Sus scrofa: one gene and its partners. The protein of the gene in region 2 binds, or shares a complex with, the protein of the main gene of each other region. Links are inferred from orthologs where the notes say so. Each region holds a gene or a part of one and is shown on either strand. Other genes may lie near its edges.

The links.
Region 1: the proteins of KRAS (region 2) and RGL1 are in contact, whole or in part, in a crystal structure (PDB 7SCX), measured with the Homo sapiens proteins. The link is inferred for Sus scrofa from reciprocal best matches to the Homo sapiens genes KRAS and RGL1. Residues at the interface, in NP_001356715.1 of Homo sapiens: Ile24, Gln25, Glu31, Asp33, Pro34, Thr35, Ile36, Glu37, Asp38, Ser39, Tyr40, Arg41, Leu56, Tyr64, Met67; in NP_001284600.1 of Homo sapiens: Ile651, Arg653, Asn660, Gly661, Asn662, Met663, Tyr664, Lys665, Ser666, Ile667, Met668, Lys685, Asn687.
Region 3: the proteins of KRAS (region 2) and PLA2G16 are in contact, whole or in part, in a crystal structure (PDB 7C41), measured with the Homo sapiens proteins. The link is inferred for Sus scrofa from reciprocal best matches to the Homo sapiens genes KRAS and PLAAT3. Residues at the interface, in NP_001356715.1 of Homo sapiens: Ala11, Gly13, Lys16, Ser17, Tyr32, Asp33, Pro34, Thr35, Ile36, Thr58, Ala59, Gly60, Gln61, Asn85, Asn86, Lys88, Asp92, Tyr96, Lys117; in NP_001121675.1 of Homo sapiens: Leu65, Tyr66, Asp67, Val68, Ala69, Gly70, Ser71, Asp72, Lys73, Tyr74.

Annotation. Positions count from the first base shown.
Region 1 is NC_010451.4:125,004,717-125,008,729, reverse strand, and holds the start of RGL1 (ral guanine nucleotide dissociation stimulator-like 1), read right to left. Parts: upstream 2,851-4,013; 5' UTR 2,726-2,850; coding exon 2,378-2,725; intron 1,372-2,377; coding exon 1,261-1,371; intron 1-1,260. UniProt on the Homo sapiens protein: Probable guanine nucleotide exchange factor.
Region 2 is NC_010447.5:48,511,814-48,515,365, forward strand, and holds part of KRAS (GTPase KRas), read left to right. Parts: intron 1-1,560; 5' UTR 1,561-1,571; coding exon 1,572-1,682; intron 1,683-3,552. UniProt on the Homo sapiens protein: Ras proteins bind GDP/GTP and possess intrinsic GTPase activity. Plays an important role in the regulation of cell proliferation.
Region 3 is NC_010444.4:8,409,044-8,413,389, forward strand, and holds the start of PLA2G16 (HRAS-like suppressor 3), read left to right. Parts: upstream 1-1,496; 5' UTR 1,497-4,346. UniProt on the Homo sapiens protein: Exhibits both phospholipase A1/2 and acyltransferase activities. Shows phospholipase A1 (PLA1) and A2 (PLA2) activity, catalyzing the calcium-independent release of fatty acids from the sn-1 or sn-2 position of glycerophospholipids.

The sequences.
Region 1 (4,013 bases), on a different chromosome or scaffold from region 2:
GCAAAGGTTTCTAGCTTTCCAGGCTACACCTGTCCCTAACAGCTTACCACCCTGGTGGGTGGTACCTCAACCCCAAGTACAGAGCAGGAAACGCCTGACTTGAAACAGCCGGGGAAGCCCAAAGCAACGACCGCCCGTGTCAGCAGCCCAGCAGACCCGTGGCAGAGGAAACCATTGCTGCCGGGCATCCTGCCTTAAACGCCAGGAATTGCAAGTCACATGTTGCCTCGGTCTTAACGTGAAGTCCAGGGCAGTTTTGCTTCCTGTCCTCCTTCACACCCCACCTTTGAATGCTGCTCAAAACACTGAAAATTTTCTGAAACATGAAGCTAGTAAAGACAGGACACCCGAGCATAATCTTCACGGCTCTCAAGCCCATCAGCTGTGAAGCCTGAGTGGGGCCAGAATAAGACCACGTGAAACCACACCCCACCCTCCTCTATTCGCCTGCCACTATGCTCCTTCTCAAGGCTGTCCGCCCTCTGAGCATTGCTTCTAGCCCCAGATGAAGAATTCCTTCCTTCTTTGCATGAGGGTGTTTGCCCAAGCGTTTCGTTCCTCACACCCCCTTCAGTTGGGATGTGATGAAGGATCCATCCGGCAATAAAGAGTAACTCGCTTGATCCCACCTGATACTTTCAAATCTCAATGGAAAAAAAAAAAAAGTTTTATTTATGGAAGCAGTGTTTCTCCAAAGACCCAGCATTCTCCACACACTGTACATGAAGTCATGGGCACAAAGCACACCTTTGCCTCCTCATGGGCTGTGGAAAGGAGGTGACAATGGGAAATCTGCCATCCCCGCCACCATAGGAAGCAGATTTGGAATGTCAGGCCCCCCGAGCATTCCAGGTACTTGGTACAGGAACGGAGTAGGACCAGGGATGTCAGCATCAACAGGAGAAAGACAGGGAGAGGAAGGGGTGCCATCCGGGCAAAATGGCTCTTGTCTAACACTGGGCTATTTTCTGGTCCTGTAATTCTGTGCTACGTTCTGCCACTCCATCCCCACTCTATTTGCCAAGTACCTCAAGATGTTTCCAAGAGGTTCTGAATTATTGACAAACCTAGGGAGATATTTGGAAAACAGACCAGTACTGCTACTGCAAACACTTGGTCACTGTAGTTTCCTTTTTTAAGGTTAAAAGAGATGATAGGAGGAAAGGGGGGGGAGGGAAAGCCTGCCTCTGCTAAATAATGATATTCACAGAACACAGACACTGCAAGCCCAAAGTTCACAGTCTCTCCAGCTTTACTCACCCCTAGCCATCTTGCTCCTTTATTGGCAGCCTGTTGAATCTGGACTCTTTTGAGGGTGACATGGTAAACAGCTCCTTCCTCTACCTCTTCACCCCAGTCCTGAATCGAGCTCTGCCAGGGGGTGGGACAAAAAGAAAGAAAAAGAGTATTTTTTTTTTTTTTCCTCTCTGCTAACCGCAATCTATCCCAGCTGCTTACAACAGCACTCGGGACATAAAAGATGGGGCTGTTCAAAAAATATGTATATATATCACAATCAGAGCAACACAGGACACATTGCAACAGAGGGAATGCGGGGATTTTCTTGGCCCCCAGCCCTTTCCTGCGGTATCAGGAGTCCCGGACTTTCCCATTTAGTTATTTTTCCTAGACTTGCTCACATATCTTAAATGGTTTTTTAAAAAGTCTTCTCTTTCCCCCTTCTTAAAGAAACGGTGGTTTAGTCCTGATTAACTTTTCCTCCTTAAGTGCGAGGAAAAATAAGTCATTCGCAGGAAAAGTTTGCCCTTTTCTAAGTGGCTCCGTTATTTGAGCAAACTACATTTTAAACACTGCCAAAACAAGTGTTTAAAATGCCAAGAGTGCTCGCTCCTTTGGAGTGAAATGCTTTGCATGTCCTTTTTTTTTTTTTTTTTTTTTTTTTTTTTTTTTTTCTCCTCTCATTGTTTGGGAACCCAAAAAGTTAGCGGGAGGTAGAAAGTTTTTATTTCTGTCAGATCATCTGGCAAGTGCAGAAAAGGCACACATCAAGTCTGTGCAGCGGGACCCCCTGGGTTTCCCTGTCCCCAGCTAAACTTGAAGTTTGTGTTTAAAGAGCCGCCGGGACGCAGAAGTGCCCGCGGTTCACGCAGACGCACAGTCCTCCTGGCTTAAAAGTTTTCCTTTGCTAACACACATCTGCCCCAGACACACCAAAGGCAACTGCTGAGAAAGTTTGGTTTAAAGGGAGAAGACACGCAGAGAGGAAGGCGTAGGAAGCCGAGGGAGAAAGCCTGACCTCCCAAGTAAGGGATCGGATTGCTCCGTGCACTCCGAGCAAGTCCAAAACCCGCCCAGAGAAAGCGGGAGAAGATTCCCCACCAGAGCCGCCTCGGAGAAGGCAGAGAGTTCGCGTTACCATTTTAGCTTGCCAAAGCAATTTCATTCTCAGTTTTCTCTCCGGTGTGTGGACGCGGCATGGTGCGCCCTGCTTCCAGGCAAACGCAGTCCCCGCCCGGCTCTGCCGCGGCGCCTCCGGCCCCAGCCCCGAGCGGCCGCGGCGCACCGAACACAGACACGCGCCCGCCGCCCCGCCGCCGCCGCCGCCGCCGCCGCCGGTGCGCGCAGCTCGGCCACAAAGGGAGCGCAGCGAGCGAGCGAGCGAGCGAGGGCGCCGCAGACTCCTCCCCACGCCACTCCGCCGCTCCGTGATGTCAGGCTTTCCTGTTTGTGCTGCGGAGCACACGCTCCCTCTCGGAAATCCCATGGATAAAGTTAGCGTGCGGTATTTCTCCAGTTCTGAAGGTGATCGGCAGACAACCACCCTTTCAAGTGGATCGGGTTTGCCTGATTGGCCACAGACCAGGTGCCTAAAACGACCCGGGTGTGGTCTGTGGGATCCAAGCGTGTTTCTCCTTCCTTAGCGCGAAGAAATAAAGGGGGAGGGGGAGATGCAAAAAGGATGGGAGGAGGGGATCATTAAAACGTCTAATTATCCGCCGGTTACCTATTGAATGAGATTCCATCAGAGCGACCCCATGAGAACGGCAATACTGGAAGCCCAGAAGTGTTTCATTCGAACAAAAACAGAACTGGTCAGAAGGTATTCCAAAACCCATACCCAAAGGCTGTCCCCTGTCCCGCATCAGCACACTACCAACAGGAAGTTGCCCTGGACTTCTTTCTTCCACCCAATGAAGAGGCTCATCCAACAGCAACTGGTCATTGTGGGAGGGAAAGGGACAAAGCAGGAGAGGGTTTTGCTGAGACTGACAGCGAGGAAAGTGGGCCCCCGACGTTCTGTGAGTCTTTGGGAGCAGTCACCAGGGGTTGAGTTGTCTGTACTGCTGGGACACAGTGGGATAGTACCTCGGGGAAGAGCCATTCATGACGAGCCCGCCAGGAGGAGTTTTGTCATCACATTAAGTAAATCAGCAGCCCCATACCAGATGGTAATGCAGTTAAACTTTGGCACCTAACAGAATTTCATGTCAATTGCAAAGACGTCTAGGGCGCCTGTCTTTTATACTACTCACCCCTAAATGAATTTAATCGCCTTTCAATTTCTTTTTCTAAAGAAAGTCCTCTCATTAATGGCCATGCTAAGGCATAAGGCTGGCTTTGGTGAAGAATATATTATGAACCGAAAAGCTAGAGAATCAAATATGCTGATGTTCCCAGGAGAGCAAAATAAATAAGAGTGAGGGTGCATCAAGGAAAAATAAAAAGATCTTTGAACCGTTGAGAACATCCTGAAGTCACTCAGCAAAGTTCCTTCCCCTCATACAACCAGAACCTAGAGAGCTCAGTAACTGTGGAGAGAAGGGATGCTCTTTTTATAAAACCCGAAGGGGTTGCTTCCAGTTTTTGAAAAACTCACGTAGACTAGATGCTTCTGTGATCACCAGTTTAGAGTGTTCCCAGTGTCCAGAGCAAAATCGTGTGGAAACCTACCTCTATGCTTCTTAAGCCATCCTCAGTCCCCCGGCCCACCCCTATTCAGTGATCTTGAAGAATACAAGATGCACCTGGGGACAGTTAAGCAACCCATAAGG
Region 2 (3,552 bases):
TGGGTTCAAGAAGAGGGTGAGGAGGTGTTTAATATGTTATCATGTGGAAAACCATGTAACTTTTTTGAGGGTAGAGGGTGGAGTGCGTATTTGGATAATTCTTGGTCTTCAGTAAATTGGATGCTGCCTTTGTATCTAGTGCTTATATACAACATCTGTACATTCATTAATTTAGAACCAGCTTATGCTGTATTAATTATTGTGCATCGACTTCCATTCTCTCCGCAATTCACTACTTGTTTGTAATAGTACCATGTAGTTATTGAGTGATAGGAGATTAAAGTAAGTAAGTTCATTTTTATCTCAAAAAGTTTGAAATAGCTGACTAAAAGAATATTTTCTGTCTTGCATTGTTAACCTTACAAGTTGGCAATATTTATTGCTACTGTTGGGAGATGATGGATGAGAAGCGGAGAATTAAAGTCATGTGCATTACTGAGAAATATTCACTTATATCTTTTAAAAATTCTTTCATTAAAAGCGGTACTTGCCTTTAATATTATACAATTACATTTTTGTGCAAAGTTCTATTTTTCAGCACTAATACAGAATTATATATGTGATCGATGATCATATCATCTGTACTGAATAGTTAGTTCAAAATTCTCAAAGTTCTTTTAGTTTTTGCACTGTTCTTTTCCTCAGCAGATACTTTACAGATTAAAATGTCAAAAATTATTGTCCTTATCTGCTTTGGCGTCTCAGTTTTTAGTTTCCCAGCGCACCATCCAGCTTTGACAGTCCTCTCCCCGCTCCATTCAGATTCTTGCTAACTCTTCAAGAGAACTTTGATGATGCTTTCAAAAAAGTTTTCTGTAGCTCTTGACTCCAGCAGAGACACTCAGCATATCCACTTGTAACTCTTGGGGCCCAAGTCAATGAGGATTACTGTGGCTAAAGTAGCCAAATTTTGTGTGGGTGTGTTCACAGGATATAGCGCAGCTTGCTCCTCACTTGTTCTGAGTGAAGTCATGGCCCACTCCTTTGAGAGCCATTAGCTGCTGCAGATCAGCAGATTGGCTCTTCAGATAGAGCAACCCGGAGTTCCCGTCGTGGCACAGTGGTTAACGAATCCGACTAGGAACCATGAGGTTGTGGGTTCGGTCCCTGACCTTGCTCAGTGGGTTAAGGATCTGGCGTTGCCATGAGCTGTGATGTAGGCTGCAGACACGGCTTGGATCCCACATTGCTATGGCTCTGGTGTAGGCCGGCGGCTACAGCTCTGATTAGACCCCTATCCTGGGAATGGCTCTAGAAAAGGCAAAAACAAACAAAAAAACAAAAACACAGCAACCTGAATCTAAGGTAAAAGAACTGTGTACTCTGAAAGCATTTTTCTCAAATGCTGATGGGGGCATTCATAAATGAAGTACAGTTCAATATATTGCACATCTGTGGTCAACGGGCGTTTTCATCGCTAAACTTTGTGAGGTATTTTGAAACAATTTTTCATATACAGGTCAATTTGTGTTAAGAGGGCTTGATAGCGTTTGGGTTATATTAACCTCATATGTGGCACATGTTCTAATTTAGTCACATTTTCATTATTTTTATTATAAGGCCTGCTGAAAATGACTGAATATAAACTTGTGGTAGTTGGAGCTGGTGGCGTAGGCAAGAGTGCCTTGACAATACAGCTAATTCAGAATCACTTTGTGGATGAATATGATCCTACGATAGAGGTAAATCTTGTTTTACTGTTATGCATATTGACTTGTGCAGGCCCATCCTTTGGGTACAAAAAAGGTTTCTCTGGTCATTTTCTAAAACTACGCATTACAAGACAGTTATTCTGATAATACCTAAGTTATCTGCAATGCACTTGGGTTTCAAGGCTTTACTCTGATGTTATATGTAACCACAGACATGGAGAGCCCAGTGTTGAGTCTTCAGTCTTCTCTGGGGAGAATAATACCATCTGCAATGTTCACTCTGAGCTAGTATATGTGCATTTTGATTGAAAGTGTACTTGTGAGTTTAGCAGAGGGTGAAAATGTGAACTTACATCCTATTTGTAAAAAGAGACATATCTAACAGTTATTTTCCTAAAAATGTGGCTATTGTCCGTATGGGGTTTTGGTGTTTTGGGGGTATATTTTGATGTCACATGTTGAATTGATGGGTACTGGTAAAGTGGAATCATTTGATGATGGAATTAAAAACACTTAATTAGTAGTATTTTCAAGTTTTCTCTTCACATTGAAGTACTGGAGAACCTGCAGCTACCTGTGTGTTTTAGAAAAGCTCATTCTTTTATGTATGTGTATGTTGGGTGATGTATAAGGGTAGGTACCACACTAGTCCTTACCTTTCCTGTGCAGTCCTTTTTCAGTGTACTGAAGGAAATATTAGAATTGTTTTTATTACAAATCAATTACTGTAATTTTCAGGCTTTTTCAGTTTCATGAGAATGTACCAAAAGCAAGGCCAACAGCATAATGATAGAATAAAGGCCTGGCAGAGATCTTGAGAGGTCAAATGATCTCAAGCAGATAGGGATTTATTTAATCCTAGAGACCTGCAAGGAGGGAACGGCACCTAACTGTGTTAACTAATTTCCGAAATGTAATTAGCATATTTTATGCATAATGTGAATCTTCCTGTTAAGTTTAACATAGCATCAGTTTGTCTTTGAAATAGATTTATGCTGTTAAATTATTTCCAAAAACTTCTTTACCCCAGCTTAAGTAATCCTAATTAATCCCTTACTTTTTATTCTAGATCTGATATACCAGTTTTTTAAATCAGCTCTGAAAAATGTCCCAGAATTTTCTCTGAGTCTCAAGCTACAGATTGTAGAACAGGTCAGAATGCCCTGTTAGGATGTTGTATAAAGTCTTCAAGAAACACCTTGACCACACTGAGGTAGATTCAAAGGGCATGGTTAGCCTTTTAAGACGTTTATGCAGGGTAGAACTTTGAGGATTGATTAGATAACTGCTCATAAGGAAATGTCAAATATTTTTGGTACTGCAGGGGAAGAAAATGGAAAATAACCCGTATTTGCAAAGATCTGATTTAAACATAGAAACAGCTTTTATTTGGCTTCCAGGTTTAATAATTTGCAGTAGCAAATGGAAAGAGTCTAACTAAGTGGACCACATATGTAATAGTCTCTATATTTCTTCTTGGCAAGTCACTTCAGTGCTGATGGTTTTATTTTTTTCCTTTGAGGAAGATTAAATAGTTCACCTATTTCTTGTCTTTTCTTCTTTTTTTTTTTTTTTTTTTTTTTTTTTTTTTTTTTTTTTTTTTTTTTGGCATTTCTAGGGCCACACCTGTGGCATATGGAGGTTCCCAGGCTAGGGGTCTAATCGGAGGTGTAGCCGCCAGCCTAAGCCACAGCCACCACAACTCGGGATCCAAGCCACGTCTGCAACGTACACCTCAGCTCATGGCAACACCGGATCCTTAACCCACTGAGCCAGGCCAGGCCAGGGATCGAACCCACAACCTCATGGTTCCTAGTCGGGTTCGTTAACCACTGCACCACAACAGGAACTCCTATTTCTAAAGCCAAGGTTACTAGGCATACTCCACCATTTAAATTGG
Region 3 (4,346 bases), on a different chromosome or scaffold from region 2:
TCGAGGGAGGCCGCTTTCTCTGTCCTACAGAACAATACCGAATTAGTATCTTCCTAGCGAACGCGGGAGCAAGCCGTGCTGTTGGCGGTATTGCATAAGATTGGACCCAGATTTTATTTCCGGTAACATGGACTTGCGAGGGCCATGAATTTGTAGCTCTTTGATATGGTTGCCGCCTCTGAGCCAACAGGCTAAAGGGAGTGGAAGGAGGTAGAGCTTTATGAAAGGCTTTTCCTTTCACTGGCGACCTTGGAGGCGGTGGGGAAGTTGGCTTGAACTTCTCAGATACTGACTAATCCCTGGACATACTCCCTGTAGCCCTACAATAAAAAGATTTCTTCCCTCCTTTGAGACCCACTGCATGGGGTCAAGTAGCCTCCATCCAACCTGAGTGTATGTCAGGCACCAGGCTGGGAGTTGCACTGAGCTTATCACAGTTTAGTAGTGAAGGGGAAGACTCAACTTTTTATTTTTTTTTTTTTTGTCTTTTTGCCTTTTCTAGGGCTGCTCCTGTGGCATGTGGCGATTCCAAGGCTAGGGGTCTAAATCGGAGCTGTAGCCACTGGCCTACACCAGAACCCTCACAACGCGGGATCCGAGCTGCGTCTGTGACCCACACCACAGCTCACGGCAATGCCGGATCCTTGACCCACTGAGCAAGGCCAGGGATCGAACCCGCAATCTCATGGTTCCTAGTCGGATTGGTTAACCACTGTGCCATGACGGGAACCCTGGAAGACTCAACTTATGATGTGATACAAAGAGCATGGGGAGTGTTGCTTCCTCCATCAGCTTAAGCTGGGGAATGGGAAGGACCAGGGCGGGGGAAAGTGGTCACGTGTGTGGGTTGTGGGTGGGATATCAAGCAAACTACTTGCTGGTGCATTGACATTCTTGCCTTTGATTACCATAAACAATTTGCCAAAGAAAAAGTCCAACCTGAATTAGCTTAAAAAAAAAAAAGAATTGTACCTAGGAAAAAGTTTCTTGTAATTGGATGTCTAGAAATTAAAGTGACGTGAGGCATGAGAAGAACTCAAATGTCAGCATAGCTATAGTCTCCTGTGTACAGCGGCTGTGTGATTTACGCGTGCAGATGGATTTCCTCCATGCTGTGGGGGAGGGCAGGCTTGCATCATCCCCTTTAATGTCCCCAGAGGAAAGAGGCTTTTTTTTTTTTTTTTGAATTTTTTTTTTTTTTTGGTCTTTTGTCTTTTTGTTGTTGTTGTTGTTGTTGTTGTTGCTACTTCTTGGGCTGCTCCCGCGGCATATGGAGGTTCCCAGGCTAGGGGTTGAATCGGAGCTGTAGCCACCGGCCTACGCCAGAGCCACAGCAACATGGGATCCGAGCCGCGTCTGCAACCTACACCACAGCTCACGGCAACGCCGGATCGTTAACCCACTGAGCAAGGGCAGGGACCGAACCCGCAACCTCATGGTTCCTAGTCGGATTCGTTAACCACTGCGCCACGATGGGAACTCCGGAAAGAGGCTTTTTGACTCATTGCCTGTTTAAAAAATGTGTGTGTGATACATATGTATATATATATACACACACCTCCATCCCAGAGAAAGATTCTAACTGGTCTGCCTTGGGTCCTATGCTCCTTCCAGGGTGACTTGACTGTTGCCTAAGGGCTGAGGCATGATAATCAGCCAGATGTAGGTCACATGCGTCCTAGTCAGGGCGATGGGTTCCTGTGATCGTCAGCTCCACCACTATGTAGTCACCAGATGAAAGACTACTGGACACAAACCAATGTCCACTGCAGTTATCAGCTCCCCAGACTGGCCATTTAACAACACAGTGGAATGAGAGCCTGGAACACTGCAGGAATGTGCTTTGAAGGGGAAAGAGAGGTAGTTTTGCTTCCCATTTATGCAGAGGAAGCTCTTCAGGGCCTCTCAACAGGGGGTTTATTCTCTTCAGCAGGACTTGGGGTTCAGAGCTAGGCAATTTAGGAGGAAGTGATACTTCCCAAAACCCTGATTTTTCTGCTCAGAGCAAACGGAAAGAGGGTGTATTCACAAAGCCTGCCCAGAGTGGCCTGGATACACGTAAAAAGCCTGTGTTCAGTTGGCGATGGAGCACCTTTCCCCTTGGTTCCGGTTATGAGCTGCTGTTAGATGTCAGAAGCCCTTGTGTTACCATGAAACCCTTCTATGGATTCTGCTCCCTTAAATCGGTTTGCCTACCTTCTCCTCCCCTCTTCCCTCTCCTCGCCCTGGCCTTGCTTCTCGAATCTACCCCACCCGCTCAGAATCCCCACGGGGTCTCACACCTGCGACACAGCACATAGCCTTGGGCCATTTCCTCCCACTTGCTCACCTGTCCTTTCTTAGAGACAGCCCAACAATGGGGTCTCCCGGAGGAGCCATCCTCCTCCTCAAGGCAGAGACTTCATGATTTGGAGAGATTGCAAGTAATTAAAAATGTCTTCCATCCATCACAAGAAGAACAGAGCTCCATGGCTGTGGTTGCAGAAAAGCCTGGAGCCTTTGGAGGCAGATGGCAGATTGATCCCAGCTGTTTTGAATTTGGCTGTCCACCCGGGTCATGGCCATGGACTTGGAGTGGGGCTTAAGGACTGTCCTGCTGGTGACAGTGTCAGGATCGTGTGTAGCTTCTCAGTCCTAGGGCTTTTCTTTTCCTTTTTTCTTTTTTTTATGGCTGCACTGGGGCACATGGAAGTTCCTGGGCCAGGGCTTGGATCGCGGCTGCAGCTGGGGCCTATGCTACAGCCACCGCAACAGACACAATGTCAGGTCCTTAACCCGCTGAGCCACAGTGGGAGCTCCTCTGGGGAACTCCTCTTTTGAGAGCTGCATGAAAGGTAAAAATCACTTCCTTGACATCTTTGCCCCTCAGTGGGCTTTTTGTCTTGTTTTTCCCGGCAGAGCAACAGGGGAGAAAAAAAGTGAAGGCAGTGACATCTGGGCAATACTGGAAGAAGCGAGGCAGAAATCGGTCTTGTTTCCTCAGATCTGAACCTCTCCATCCTGGGTTCGGACTGCCTTCCAGATAGTAATTTGTTCAATATGCACATTTTGTTGGGTGAGTAGAAATGCACATAAAGCTCTGGTATTTATTTATATCGCCTCTGACTCTCCTTGCCAGGAATCTGGTGAGTAATGTGTGATGTTGATGAGCATGGGTCACTCCTGTTAACAACGGCTCAGGTGTCTTGAGTGAGGACTTACCCCAGGCCAGACATCAGCTCCCATGGTAGGGGCCTCCTTTCATCTGCTACTCTCCCTTTGGGGAGTGTATTTTTATATATTATCTCATGTGGCGTTCAATATTATCACCATTCCGTTTTACAGATGAACAGGAGCTCCCATTGTGGCTCAGGCGGCTTAAGAACCGGATACAGTGTCCACGAAGATTTGGGTTCAATCCCTGGCCTTGATCAGTGGGTTAAGGATCCGGCTTTGTCACAAGCTCCAGCATAGGTCACAGATGTGACTTGGATCCAGTGTCGCTGTGGCTGCAGCTCTGACTTGATCCCTAGCCTGGGACCTTCCCTATGCTGCAGGTGTGGCCTTAGAAAGACAAACAGATGAACCAACTGAGGCTCAGAGAGGGAAGGGTGCCCTGGACCCAGCAGCTTGCAAGTGACAGGGCCAGGATTTGGCCCACGGTCCCGATTCCTAGCTGGGTGCTGACAGGAAGTGGCAAGACTATAGAGATGAACAGGAGCTGCTTCTACTCTTGGGGAGTCACAGCCCAGTGCAGAGGAAAGGCCTGCGATGGGTCATTCATTCATTCATGAAATGCTTACTGTGTGCTGGGTTTGTGCCAGGGTTGGGGGATATCTGAAGGCTTAAGACTCGGTACTTTCTGTTTAGGCCCTTGCCTTTAAATAGCTTTAAAATGTAATATACAGAAGTCCCCGGGGATACCTTCAAAGCACCCTCCGCCCCCGCAGATGCCAAAACCGCGGGTAGGACGGAACCCTGCGGTAATCCCCCGCTTATCTGCGATTTCCTCTCCTGGTTTGTTATCCAACAGACCCCAGAAAAAACCTCCACATAACTTGGTTTTAAACCACAGTGTACGCGGCTAGAGTGGAGGAGATATTTGATTACAGTCCAGTGCGATGCGTATACCCTCTCTTGAATGCCGCGCGCGCCGCAGCGCGTGTGTAGAAGAGGCGAGGACGAGGTGGCCCTGAGCAGGGTCCCGGGGGCGCCTCCAGGCATGGAAGGCTGTGGGGAGACGGTCCGGGGGAACAGGAGGCATCCTGGCCTGACTGCCCCAGAAGCCGGAGCAGGCGGTCCCTGTCGCCGGGGCAGGGAGCTCATCGCGGCTGTAATTAGTCACACTGGGAGGAGCCGGGTGACCT